Linked DNA regions of Saccharomyces cerevisiae S288C. The gene in region 1 interacts genetically with each later gene. Each region holds a gene or a part of one and is shown in the gene's direction. Other genes may lie near its edges.

The links.
Region 2: mutations in GDA1 (region 1) and AGE2 together harm fitness more than expected from each alone (negative genetic interaction), as found in Saccharomyces cerevisiae (3 studies listed by BioGRID).

What each region holds. Positions count from the first base shown.
Region 1 is NC_001137.3:70,945-77,780, forward strand, and holds GDA1 (guanosine diphosphatase), read left to right. Parts: upstream 1-2,826; coding exon 2,827-4,383; downstream 4,384-6,836. Other genes in the region: GTA1 (Gta1p), read left to right, coding at 1-2,404; YEF1 (NADH/NAD(+) kinase), read left to right, coding at 5,000-6,487. UniProt on the Saccharomyces cerevisiae protein: After transfer of sugars to endogenous macromolecular acceptors, the enzyme converts nucleoside diphosphates to nucleoside monophosphates which in turn exit the Golgi lumen in a coupled antiporter reaction, allowing entry of additional nucleotide sugar from the cytosol.
Region 2 is NC_001141.2:271,041-275,751, reverse strand, and holds AGE2 (GTPase-activating protein AGE2), read left to right. Parts: upstream 1-1,905; coding exon 1,906-2,802; downstream 2,803-4,711. Other genes in the region: protein kinase PKP1, read left to right, coding at 1-644; CBR1 (cytochrome-b5 reductase), read left to right, coding at 826-1,680; putative protein phosphatase regulator PIG2, read right to left, coding at 2,975-4,591. UniProt on the Saccharomyces cerevisiae protein: GTPase-activating protein for the ADP ribosylation factor family.

The sequences.
Region 1 (6,836 bases):
ATCGTCCACAGCTATGCAGCCCAGAAACTCCAAGTCCGAACCCGCCCCGTTGCCCTCTCACTACTCCTCTGTTTCCCTGTCTACTTTCTCATCCAATATTACTAATAGCGCCACCAGCAATAATGGTTCAAATCTACCCGCTTACACATCTTTGACTACGTTGAAGGATTTGGATTCGTTTTCCATCGATGATCTGAAAAAGATACTGATTTGCGCCCAGGAGGACTTACACGATGTGTTGTCCCAACAAACTTCGCTTTTGCAAGATTTTCAAGAATCGAAGTTAGAATTAGAACTAGAACTGGATAACTTGAAAACACATTGGTCGCACGAAATTGACTTGCGGAAATCCTTGAAATCCAATATCAAGTCATTGGAGAATTCTAAACTATTGACCGATTTGAAAATCGAAAAATTGAACAAGAAAATCGACAAATCCAAGGAAAAAATATCGAAAATGCGCAATGATATGCAGAAATGGTCTCAGGAAGATACCGAGCTGTTGTCTAAGGATACCATAAAGGAGAAATATTTCAAATTGCTAAATGAATCCAATGCCTCTGTGGCCAATATCAACAAAGAAATTGAGTCTTTACAAAATGAAATTTCCAAGATGGAGGAGTCTAACAAGAGATTGAACGCCTCCAAAAAATCATTGATTACTTCCATAGTGGTGAATGCCAATGTGGAAAACGATAAACCTATTGCTAGCGGAGAATTGTCGGCTGTTTTGAAGAAGCTCAATGATTTTACTTTAGAAAAAAATGGATTTTTAAGTAATGCTGGTGAAGAGTTTCTATCCAAATTGAATGCAGACTCATCATTGATTAAAATGATTAAGCAAGAGCTAAGCATTGATCAAGAATTGGAGGCCAACTGGAAATTGCAGAGGTCAAATTTGTTGAAGAAAATTAGTGCTTTAGAAAACCAATTTAATGAAATGAGCCTTAATAATCGGAATTTGAAAACAAAATTAATGGTTCAACCATATAAGAATAACGGTGATTCGCTTGCTGCCACCAATTCGAATAATTCCGCGGAAAAAAACAGAAGTTCTGGATCGATTCAATTACCATTATCCAACAACATGTCAAGAACGGGGTCCATTGATTTAATATCGAATAATAACAAAAGTATTAACAACAGTAATGCTGATTCTGCTCCTCCGTTGAGGTTGCACAATCCAGTTTCGTACTCTCCTTCGAATGAACCCATACAACCTTCAAGCAGTCTATTGAGTCAATTGACACAGGACACCGATAATCGATCAATGCTCTCCAATCACATCTCATCGAACAACGAAAACAAGCAACAGCCTTCTTCATATTCACATGCTTTACCTACAACTGCTACTGCTAATGCAACAGCAACAGCAACAGCAACTAATGGTCACTCAAGGTCAAATTTATGGACCACCGCACAATTCGCTCAACCTTCGCATCAACAAGTATCTACAGAATTGGATCAAGCTTTTGAATACGATAATGCAAACCACTTAATCAGTGGTTTGCAAAATATGATCTACGACGAAACAGACTATCCTGATAACATAAGCAATTATTCCAAGGGTTTTACTACAGACGAACTTGACAATTACTGGACTAAGCAGCAACCCCAGGTGCGCAGCACAAATGAAAGTCTTTTCTCTACGACTGGAACACCTATGTCATCATATAAGGCTAACCCAGTAATATCTCCATATTCTAGTTCTCATTTGCGACAAACCTCCAACGCAACCAATACGAATCCTATGCATCCACAGAGTCTACTCGCCGCTACATTGAATGATCCTTCATTACAAAGTTTTGTACGCAGTGGTTCTTTCTACAGTGCTCCGCAACCTGCAAACTCCTTACAGAACAATATCAATGGCAATGAAACCGAGAACATTAGTCCAAGGATATCAAGTGACTTCAATTTATTGGTGCCAAACTTGAGCCCACGACTCTCAAACGATGTGCCCATTGTTCCAGGCAATAACACTACTTTAACACCTTCACACTCGAACATATTAACAATGAACCATCAACCAACGGCGGATAACATTACACGAAGATCTTTCCATGCCTCTTCACCACCTTTCAACTCCATATGGAATTCAAATACAAATCAACTTTCTCCTCCATTGGAGGAGCAGTATCACCTCGATGTGCCTGTGGGTCCAAAGGTTCCCGCTAAAGAACCAAGCCCTAAGCCTTCTCACAAGAGGAACCAAAGTAACAGCAGCATTTCTTCTGCATGGTCCAAGTTTAAGCACAAGTCTGCATCATCACCTGCTAATGCGGACACGGATATTCAAGATTCATCAACTCCATCAACTAGTCCAAGCGGTAGAAGAATGTCAAAACTGTTGTCCAAGAGCGGTATGAATAATCTATTTAACCCGCACAGTCACGACTCATGAACAATATTATAATACTTCCAGGTCGTGTATATATGTAGATATATAAATTATGAAACATAATATATGAAAGCAGTTTGAGCTTATTCTTAATCATCAATAGGGTAACGGTATTAATCTCATTTTTTCTTTTTTTTTTTCTTTTTATTTTGGCGTCTCGTCTCAATTTCATTTTTCCCATCTTTTTACAACTTCAATATGAAAAACATAACACATGAAAAATAACTGTCAACATTAATAATATTCCTTGCATAGTGCTTCGATTTTCCAAATATAAAAACAGTTTCTTTTACAAGCTTATTTAATTTTGGTTTTAAGGAGAAAGCACTAATAAAAAGGGCAAGGACTGCAATCAACAATCTTTATTGGCGAACAGTTAAGGGTCCTCTCGAGAAGAAACATTAAGACATCATCGCACAAAAAACATGGCGCCCATCTTTAGAAATTACCGGTTCGCTATCGGTGCTTTTGCCGTTATTATGCTCATTTTGTTGATTAAAACATCTTCCATCGGTCCACCTTCTATTGCACGTACAGTTACTCCTAATGCTAGTATTCCCAAAACTCCGGAGGACATCTCTATCTTGCCCGTCAATGATGAACCAGGTTACCTTCAAGATTCGAAGACTGAACAAAACTATCCTGAGCTTGCCGATGCTGTGAAGTCACAAACAAGTCAAACATGCAGCGAAGAACATAAGTATGTTATCATGATCGATGCCGGCTCTACCGGTTCCCGAGTACATATATACAAGTTTGACGTCTGTACTTCCCCACCTACATTACTTGATGAAAAATTCGACATGTTAGAGCCTGGTTTATCTTCTTTCGATACCGATTCCGTTGGTGCCGCTAACTCCCTTGACCCATTACTGAAAGTAGCAATGAACTATGTCCCTATTAAGGCAAGAAGTTGTACTCCCGTTGCGGTGAAAGCTACTGCAGGCCTAAGACTCTTGGGTGATGCCAAATCTTCAAAAATTTTGAGCGCTGTAAGGGATCATTTGGAGAAGGACTATCCTTTCCCAGTTGTCGAAGGTGATGGTGTTTCCATCATGGGCGGTGATGAAGAAGGTGTCTTCGCCTGGATTACTACAAACTACCTATTAGGTAATATCGGTGCTAATGGCCCCAAGTTACCTACTGCTGCCGTTTTTGACTTAGGCGGAGGGTCTACACAAATTGTTTTTGAGCCTACTTTCCCAATAAATGAAAAAATGGTCGATGGTGAGCATAAATTTGATTTGAAGTTTGGTGATGAAAATTACACCTTGTACCAATTTTCTCATCTAGGTTACGGTTTGAAGGAAGGAAGAAATAAAGTTAACTCTGTTCTTGTGGAAAATGCATTAAAAGACGGCAAAATATTGAAGGGTGATAACACTAAGACTCATCAATTGTCATCTCCATGCCTACCGCCTAAAGTTAATGCCACAAATGAAAAGGTTACATTAGAATCCAAGGAAACTTATACCATTGACTTTATAGGGCCGGACGAGCCAAGTGGTGCACAATGTAGATTTCTGACTGATGAAATTTTGAATAAAGATGCTCAGTGCCAGTCTCCACCATGCTCTTTCAATGGGGTTCACCAACCTTCTTTAGTTCGTACATTCAAAGAATCGAACGATATCTATATTTTCTCTTATTTCTACGACAGAACCCGTCCATTGGGTATGCCCTTGTCCTTTACTTTGAATGAATTGAACGATTTGGCAAGAATAGTGTGTAAAGGCGAAGAAACTTGGAATAGTGTCTTCAGTGGCATTGCGGGGTCCCTAGATGAATTGGAAAGTGACTCGCACTTCTGTTTGGACTTATCTTTTCAAGTGTCCTTATTACATACGGGATATGACATTCCATTACAAAGAGAATTGAGAACTGGAAAGAAAATTGCCAATAAAGAAATCGGTTGGTGTTTAGGTGCGTCATTACCATTGTTGAAAGCTGATAACTGGAAATGTAAAATTCAATCAGCTTGAATAAGAACATGGACACCGCTTTTCGTCCCATGTATATTAAGGAAGAGGAGATTGCGGTGATATGTATTCTGTTATATGTCCTATTCTATAACCCTTGAACAATATGTAAACGATTTTTACGTTATGAAAATCACTATTATCCCCACAATAGTTTATTATAACACCGCCGCCAAGACAGGGGATTGAAAAGGCCTTCCGAGGTTTATCCATTTTTGGTAAAAGCCCGCCACGCCTTCAGGTGTTTGAGTATGAACTGGAAGAGTTATCTGTTAGGACCTCATAATCTTGAACATATGAGATAATTTAATATACTTTTGTTATGGATTGTTCCGTTGTTTTAAGACTATATGGCTTTGTTTTAGTTTTAGGGTGATTGTGGATATCACACCGGTCCTCAAGAAAATCGAAAACAAAAGGATAATCGGACTTATCTGGTGATCGAAGAAACTGCATTTCAGGTCGTTTAATAAACTGCTAGCTATTGATATTATATATATAAATAAACCTACAATCAGGTTAGTGTATTCATCTCACTTCTATAGCGTTGTGAAAGGGAAATGGAAATAGTGCAATCTCAATAAATCTGCTTACGTGACATTTTTTACTAAAAGAGAATATGAAAACTGATAGATTACTGATTAACGCTTCCCCGGAGACATGTACCAAGGGAGATGCTGAGATGGATACTATGGATACTATTGACAGAATGACATCAGTTAAAGTTTTAGCGGAAGGCAAGGTATTAAGCAACTTCGAAGAACCGGGCTTAATGAGGTGCGGTTATCATGATGCAAAAAACTGGGTCAGAAGATTATCGAGCGAAACAATTGTCGGTGAGGACACGAGTAATTTATACCCATTTTATGTTGATACTGCATACGATGTAAGGCGTTTGAGAAAGGATCTTATAAATGCTAAGGTTGACTTGCAGGTTGAAAACCTGATAATAATCTGCAATATTAATGATATTTCCACTGTATTTCTCATGAGAGAAGTGGTGGAATGGATCTTACGCAATTTCCATTCAATAACTGTATATGTACAAGATATTTTTAAAAAGTCAACTCAGTTTGCTGTTGGTGACCTCTGCAAAGACAGCAATTGCAGTAAAAACAGAGTAAAGTATTGGTCAAAAGAATTTGTTAAAAAACACGATTCATTCTTTGACTTGATGATTACACTAGGGGGTGATGGAACTGTCCTTTTTGCTTCATCTATATTCACGAAAGATGTTCCGCCGATTGTTCCATTTGCCCTTGGATCATTAGGATTTCTAACAAATTTTGAATTTCAAAATTTCAAAGAAACGTTGAAACATATCTTAACAGATGAGGTTCGTATTAATTTACGAATGAGGTTGCAATGCAAACTCTACCGTAGAAATAAACCAGAAATTGATGCCGCAACTGGGAGAAAAATATGTTACATCGATTTCATCTCCGAACATCACGTATTGAACGAAGTAACCATAGATAGAGGTCCAGCTCCTTGTTTATCCCTATTAGAACTCTATGGAAACGACTCACTAATGACTAAGGTTCAGGGAGATGGATTGATTGTTGCCACGCCTACGGGATCCACGGCATACTCATTGAGTGCAGGAGGCTCTTTAATATCGCCAAGCGTAAATGCCATAGCGGTGACGCCTATATGTCCTCATACTTTGAGCTTTAGGCCTATAATTTTACCAGATAGCATGGAATTAAAAGTTAGAGTAGATATGAACTCAAGAGGGACGTCGTGGGTGAATTTTGACGGAAAAGATAGAGTTGAATTGAAACAGGGTGACTATGTTGTGATAACTGCAAGCCCCTATTCGGTACCGACTATCGAGTCATCTGCCAGTGAATTTTTTGAAAGTATCAGTAAAAATCTTAATTGGAATGACCGCGAAGAGCAGAAGCCATTTGCACATATTCTCTCGCCAAAAAATCAAGAAAAATATAGATTAGACTCATCGAAAAATGGAAACGACACCATAAGTAATCCCCTCGAGAGTTCATGCATAAGCTCAGATGCACAAGATGAGGAGAGGAAATCCGTAACGGAAACAGAAACAGAAATAGTTGTTGAACGGACTCGTCAGGCTCATTTTGCAATCTAACGATTTCCCACATCCTGCGTTTCCGTAGTCAAGGGTTCATAATGGATGATGAGCCTGTAAACAGCTTTGTATTTACCTCTTTTACTTCAAGAATGCTCTTGCGTCGTTTGCAGTGTCGAAGAAGATCCAGTAGAGCTATACAAAATGGAGAAATGAAACAGTTGAACCAGAGCGCCGCATTTGGCAGGTAGTTTCGCTAAATTTCCTCATGCGCGTTTGTAATTATGCTAGTTAACCATATGATAAGGTTGCCTAACTTGCAGTCACCGGAAGGTTATTTCCGGAATGGTGCAGAATAATTTTTAAAATAGTAGCATATATTTCGTTCCAATTCCCAAATAGGGAATTA
Region 2 (4,711 bases), on another chromosome or scaffold:
AGAGAATCACGATGAAGCTGCTTGTGACGCACTATTTGTCGTTGATGGCACAGAACAAAGGTGACACGAACAAAAGGATGATTGGAATCTTGCACCGGGACCTCCCCATAGCACAATTGATCAAGCACGTTTCTGATTATGTCAATGATATATGCTTTGTGAAGTTCAACACTCAGCGGACCCCGGTCCTAATTCACCCGCCATCACAAGACATCACATTCACGTGCATTCCGCCCATTCTGGAGTATATTATGACAGAGGTATTCAAGAACGCTTTTGAAGCTCAGATAGCTCTTGGAAAGGAACATATGCCCATAGAGATCAATCTTTTAAAGCCAGACGATGACGAGCTGTACTTACGGATACGGGACCATGGTGGTGGGATCACGCCCGAGGTAGAGGCCCTCATGTTCAACTACTCTTACTCTACACATACCCAACAATCAGCTGACTCTGAGTCTACAGATCTGCCCGGCGAGCAAATCAACAACGTCTCCGGCATGGGCTTTGGTCTACCAATGTGCAAGACGTACCTAGAACTGTTTGGGGGCAAGATTGACGTTCAAAGTTTACTTGGCTGGGGCACGGACGTGTACATCAAGCTCAAAGGCCCTTCTAAGACTGCACTACTCTCCAAAAAGTAACAGTGCTAAATTTCCTCGTAAAGCGGTACCATTAAGGGCTCTTTCTACTTCTTTAAATTATCTACATATGTATAAATATTCTTATTATATAAGGCGAAAAAATGAACGAGAAAAAAAAGTGTTGAAAGTATGCATTCAACTGGCTCTTCAACAAGAGACTCAATCAATTAAGCAATCGAAGATGGCTATTGATGCTCAAAAGCTTGTGGTGGTCATCGTGATCGTGGTCGTGCCTTTGCTCTTCAAGTTCATTATCGGACCGAAGACCAAGCCTGTGCTGGATCCCAAAAGGAATGACTTCCAATCATTTCCGCTGGTTGAAAAAACCATCTTAACGCATAATACTTCGATGTACAAGTTCGGGCTACCTCATGCTGACGACGTACTCGGTTTACCAATTGGTCAGCATATCGTAATTAAGGCCAATATCAATGGTAAGGATATTACCAGATCGTATACGCCCACATCGTTGGATGGAGATACAAAGGGAAACTTTGAATTACTAGTGAAGTCTTACCCCACAGGTAACGTTTCTAAGATGATTGGAGAGTTGAAGATAGGTGACTCGATCCAGATCAAGGGCCCTCGTGGGAACTATCATTATGAGAGAAACTGCCGTTCCCATCTAGGGATGATTGCTGGTGGTACTGGTATTGCGCCCATGTATCAGATCATGAAAGCTATTGCCATGGACCCTCACGACACTACCAAGGTCTCTCTAGTCTTTGGGAACGTCCATGAGGAGGATATTCTGTTGAAGAAGGAACTGGAAGCGTTGGTGGCCATGAAGCCTTCCCAATTTAAGATAGTTTACTACTTAGACTCTCCTGACCGTGAAGACTGGACTGGTGGTGTAGGATACATTACCAAGGATGTCATCAAGGAACACTTGCCCGCTGCTACAATGGACAACGTTCAAATTTTGATCTGTGGTCCTCCAGCCATGGTTGCCTCAGTTAGAAGAAGTACCGTGGACTTGGGGTTCAGACGTTCCAAACCGCTTTCCAAGATGGAAGACCAGGTGTTTGTGTTTTAAGATAAGGAACTGTAACAGAGTGCCATATATATATATATAGATTGGAACATATATAATATATACGCTATTTAGTTTAGTCACCTAAACGCACCGTTTCCATATTTCGTGCTGGACGATTTTCGACTCGATAATACGTATAAGATCGGTACTAATAGTAACAAAAGTAAAGGTAATACTTGCTTCAACTGTACAAAGGAGCATAGAACGTGGGGCAATTTACAAGCGATGTCGACGTCAGTCCCAGTCAAGAAGGCATTAAGTGCTCTTTTACGCGATCCAGGAAACAGTCATTGTGCCGACTGTAAGGCGCAACTACATCCACGCTGGGCTTCCTGGTCACTTGGTGTTTTCATTTGCATTAAATGTGCTGGTATACATAGATCATTGGGAACGCACATTTCGAAAGTGAAATCTGTTGATCTGGATACATGGAAGGAAGAACATTTGGTGAAACTGATACAGTTCAAAAACAATTTAAGAGCTAACTCATACTACGAAGCTACTTTGGCTGATGAATTGAAACAGAGGAAAATCACTGATACGAGCAGTTTACAAAATTTCATCAAGAATAAATATGAATATAAGAAGTGGATTGGTGACCTCTCCAGTATTGAAGGGTTAAATGATTCTACTGAACCAGTTCTGCATAAGCCGTCTGCGAATCATTCGTTGCCTGCTTCGAATGCAAGATTGGACCAGAGCTCAAATTCATTACAAAAGACGCAAACACAACCACCTTCCCACTTATTAAGCACCTCAAGGAGTAATACGAGCTTATTAAACCTACAGGTTTCATCGCTTTCTAAGACTACATCTAATACAAGTGTAACTAGTTCTGCAACAAGCATAGGTGCTGCTAATACCAAGACTGGCAACAGAGTCGGTGAATTTGGGCAAAGGAACGATTTGAAAAAATCCATTTTATCTTTATACTCAAAACCTTCTGCCCAGACTCAAAGCCAGAACTCATTTTTCACTTCCACGACACCTCAGCCTTGTAATACTCCGTCACCATTCGTGAACACTGGAATTACCGCTACAAATAATAATAGTATGAATTCAAATTCCAGTTCTAACATTTCATTGGATGATAACGAGTTATTTAAGAACGTCTGGAGTTGAATAAAAAGTAAAAAAAGAAAGCAAATATAGAAAGCAACAAAAAGAACATCATTCCAGTATATTATTTTATATAAAGAAAATGACCTTCAAATAAAAATAGAAAGTACGTATTCTTATCTTTTTTTTTTCTTTTGTATATGTAAAACAATACTATTAGTTTTTGTTTTTTTCTTTAATGGAATGGGTTTCTGAAAAGACTATGTTTCATCTCGTAGTTATCATTGACGTCTGTTGTGGGCCCTGTCCTCGTTTCATTCGTTACCACGTCAATTTTATAGTTTGCCGAATCATTATTGTCCCAATATTCCTTCCTAGAACGATCAACGCCCCAAGTTAAGTATTGAATACAAAACTCCAATTGTGATATATTGCTATCTTTATCATTTGGATTGTGTATATCATCAATGGAGAACTTAAAAATATCCATATTGCTTCCTGGTAAGATGCCATTGGCATTAGAAAAATACACGCATTCTGATTCATGAAAAGTTCTCCATGCATCCCATGTATATCTTACGATAATCTTCTTATCAAAGTATATGTTTTTCACAAAGACTTTGCCAATTATAACCATGTTGTGGAAGCCAGTTAGTAGCGTAATTTCTTGCAAAAAAACGGGCCTTCCACGGGAAAGATTCAGAAATATGTTAAGTTTTAAACTCTTACGGTTCCTGTCACTTAATATTGGAAAGTTCTTGTTGTAAAGACCAACAATTCTTTTAGAGTTTCCAATAAACAAGTTGGCTCCTGATTTAGCAGAATTTGTTCTTGTTTCTAAATAATCGTCGTCATCGTTTATTAACAAATTCTTCAACCCGTGCGCAAGATGAGCTTGGTCTTTGTCTTGTTGCCTTACTAAACGGTTTATAGCGTCGTCACTATCATTGTCATTTTCAATATCACTGTCATCGTCACTTAGTTTAAACTTCTTTTTTTTATTTCTACGATTATTAGAATTTGTACCAAATAGGAATACACCCTTCGGGTTTTGTAGCCATGTATCTCCATATTCGTTTTGGTTGTTTTCAGATAGTAAATCTTCTATAGGTACGCTATCACTACCGCCATTAAGGGCACTTAGTCTCGTCAAAGGCTTATGCTTGAAATTCAGAACATCTTGTTGAACCATTTGTTTGCCAACATCTATGGGTTTCTCATTTTCATTGAACAGCTTTATTGGTAAAACACGATCGAAATGGACACTTTTACTTCTTTGCAATAGCCTAGTATCTACATGATCTAAATTGACATGTTTACTCTTAGAGCCAGTTTTGTTGAATATAGATTTGGGAGTAATGGGTAGGGACTTGGATCTTCTTTTTAATGAACTCTTAACCAGTTCTCCAGATTTCTTGTAAATGGGAGGTGAAGGATTACCATTTTCCTCGGATTCATACTGGAAATTATCATGTGATAGAGGAGAGATTTCGTCTTCCTCCTCGCCTAATTTACTGACGTCTTGATGATGTGCGTTAAAGTTCGCTCCAGAATTTATAAACGGGTGATGGGCATGAACTTGTTTCCCATTAAAATACATTCCCTTATTCATGTCCGTATTTCTTTGAAGCTCGTCCTGAGGTAATCTGTGCAGTTTTACATTAGATAGTCTCCTGGGCTTGTGCAAAAACTCCAGAGAGTTCAGCCTGGCAGGGTGCATGTGCATGCTCATACCAGCAAAAGTTCTTATATTCGCATTTATGTTTCCATAGTTATTGTTGTGGGCACTGTTATTAGGAAGATTTAAAGGTTCATCCATCAGTATATTTTGTGGTTGCGTGGTGGTGGCCATACGGATAAAAGCAATAATACTAGCTAGCTATATTATCTTTTTTTATTTATTATTAAGCTATTACCAAAGCTGGCGCCTCAACTGTTGGGTTCTTGTCTATTTTATGTATATTCTATATTT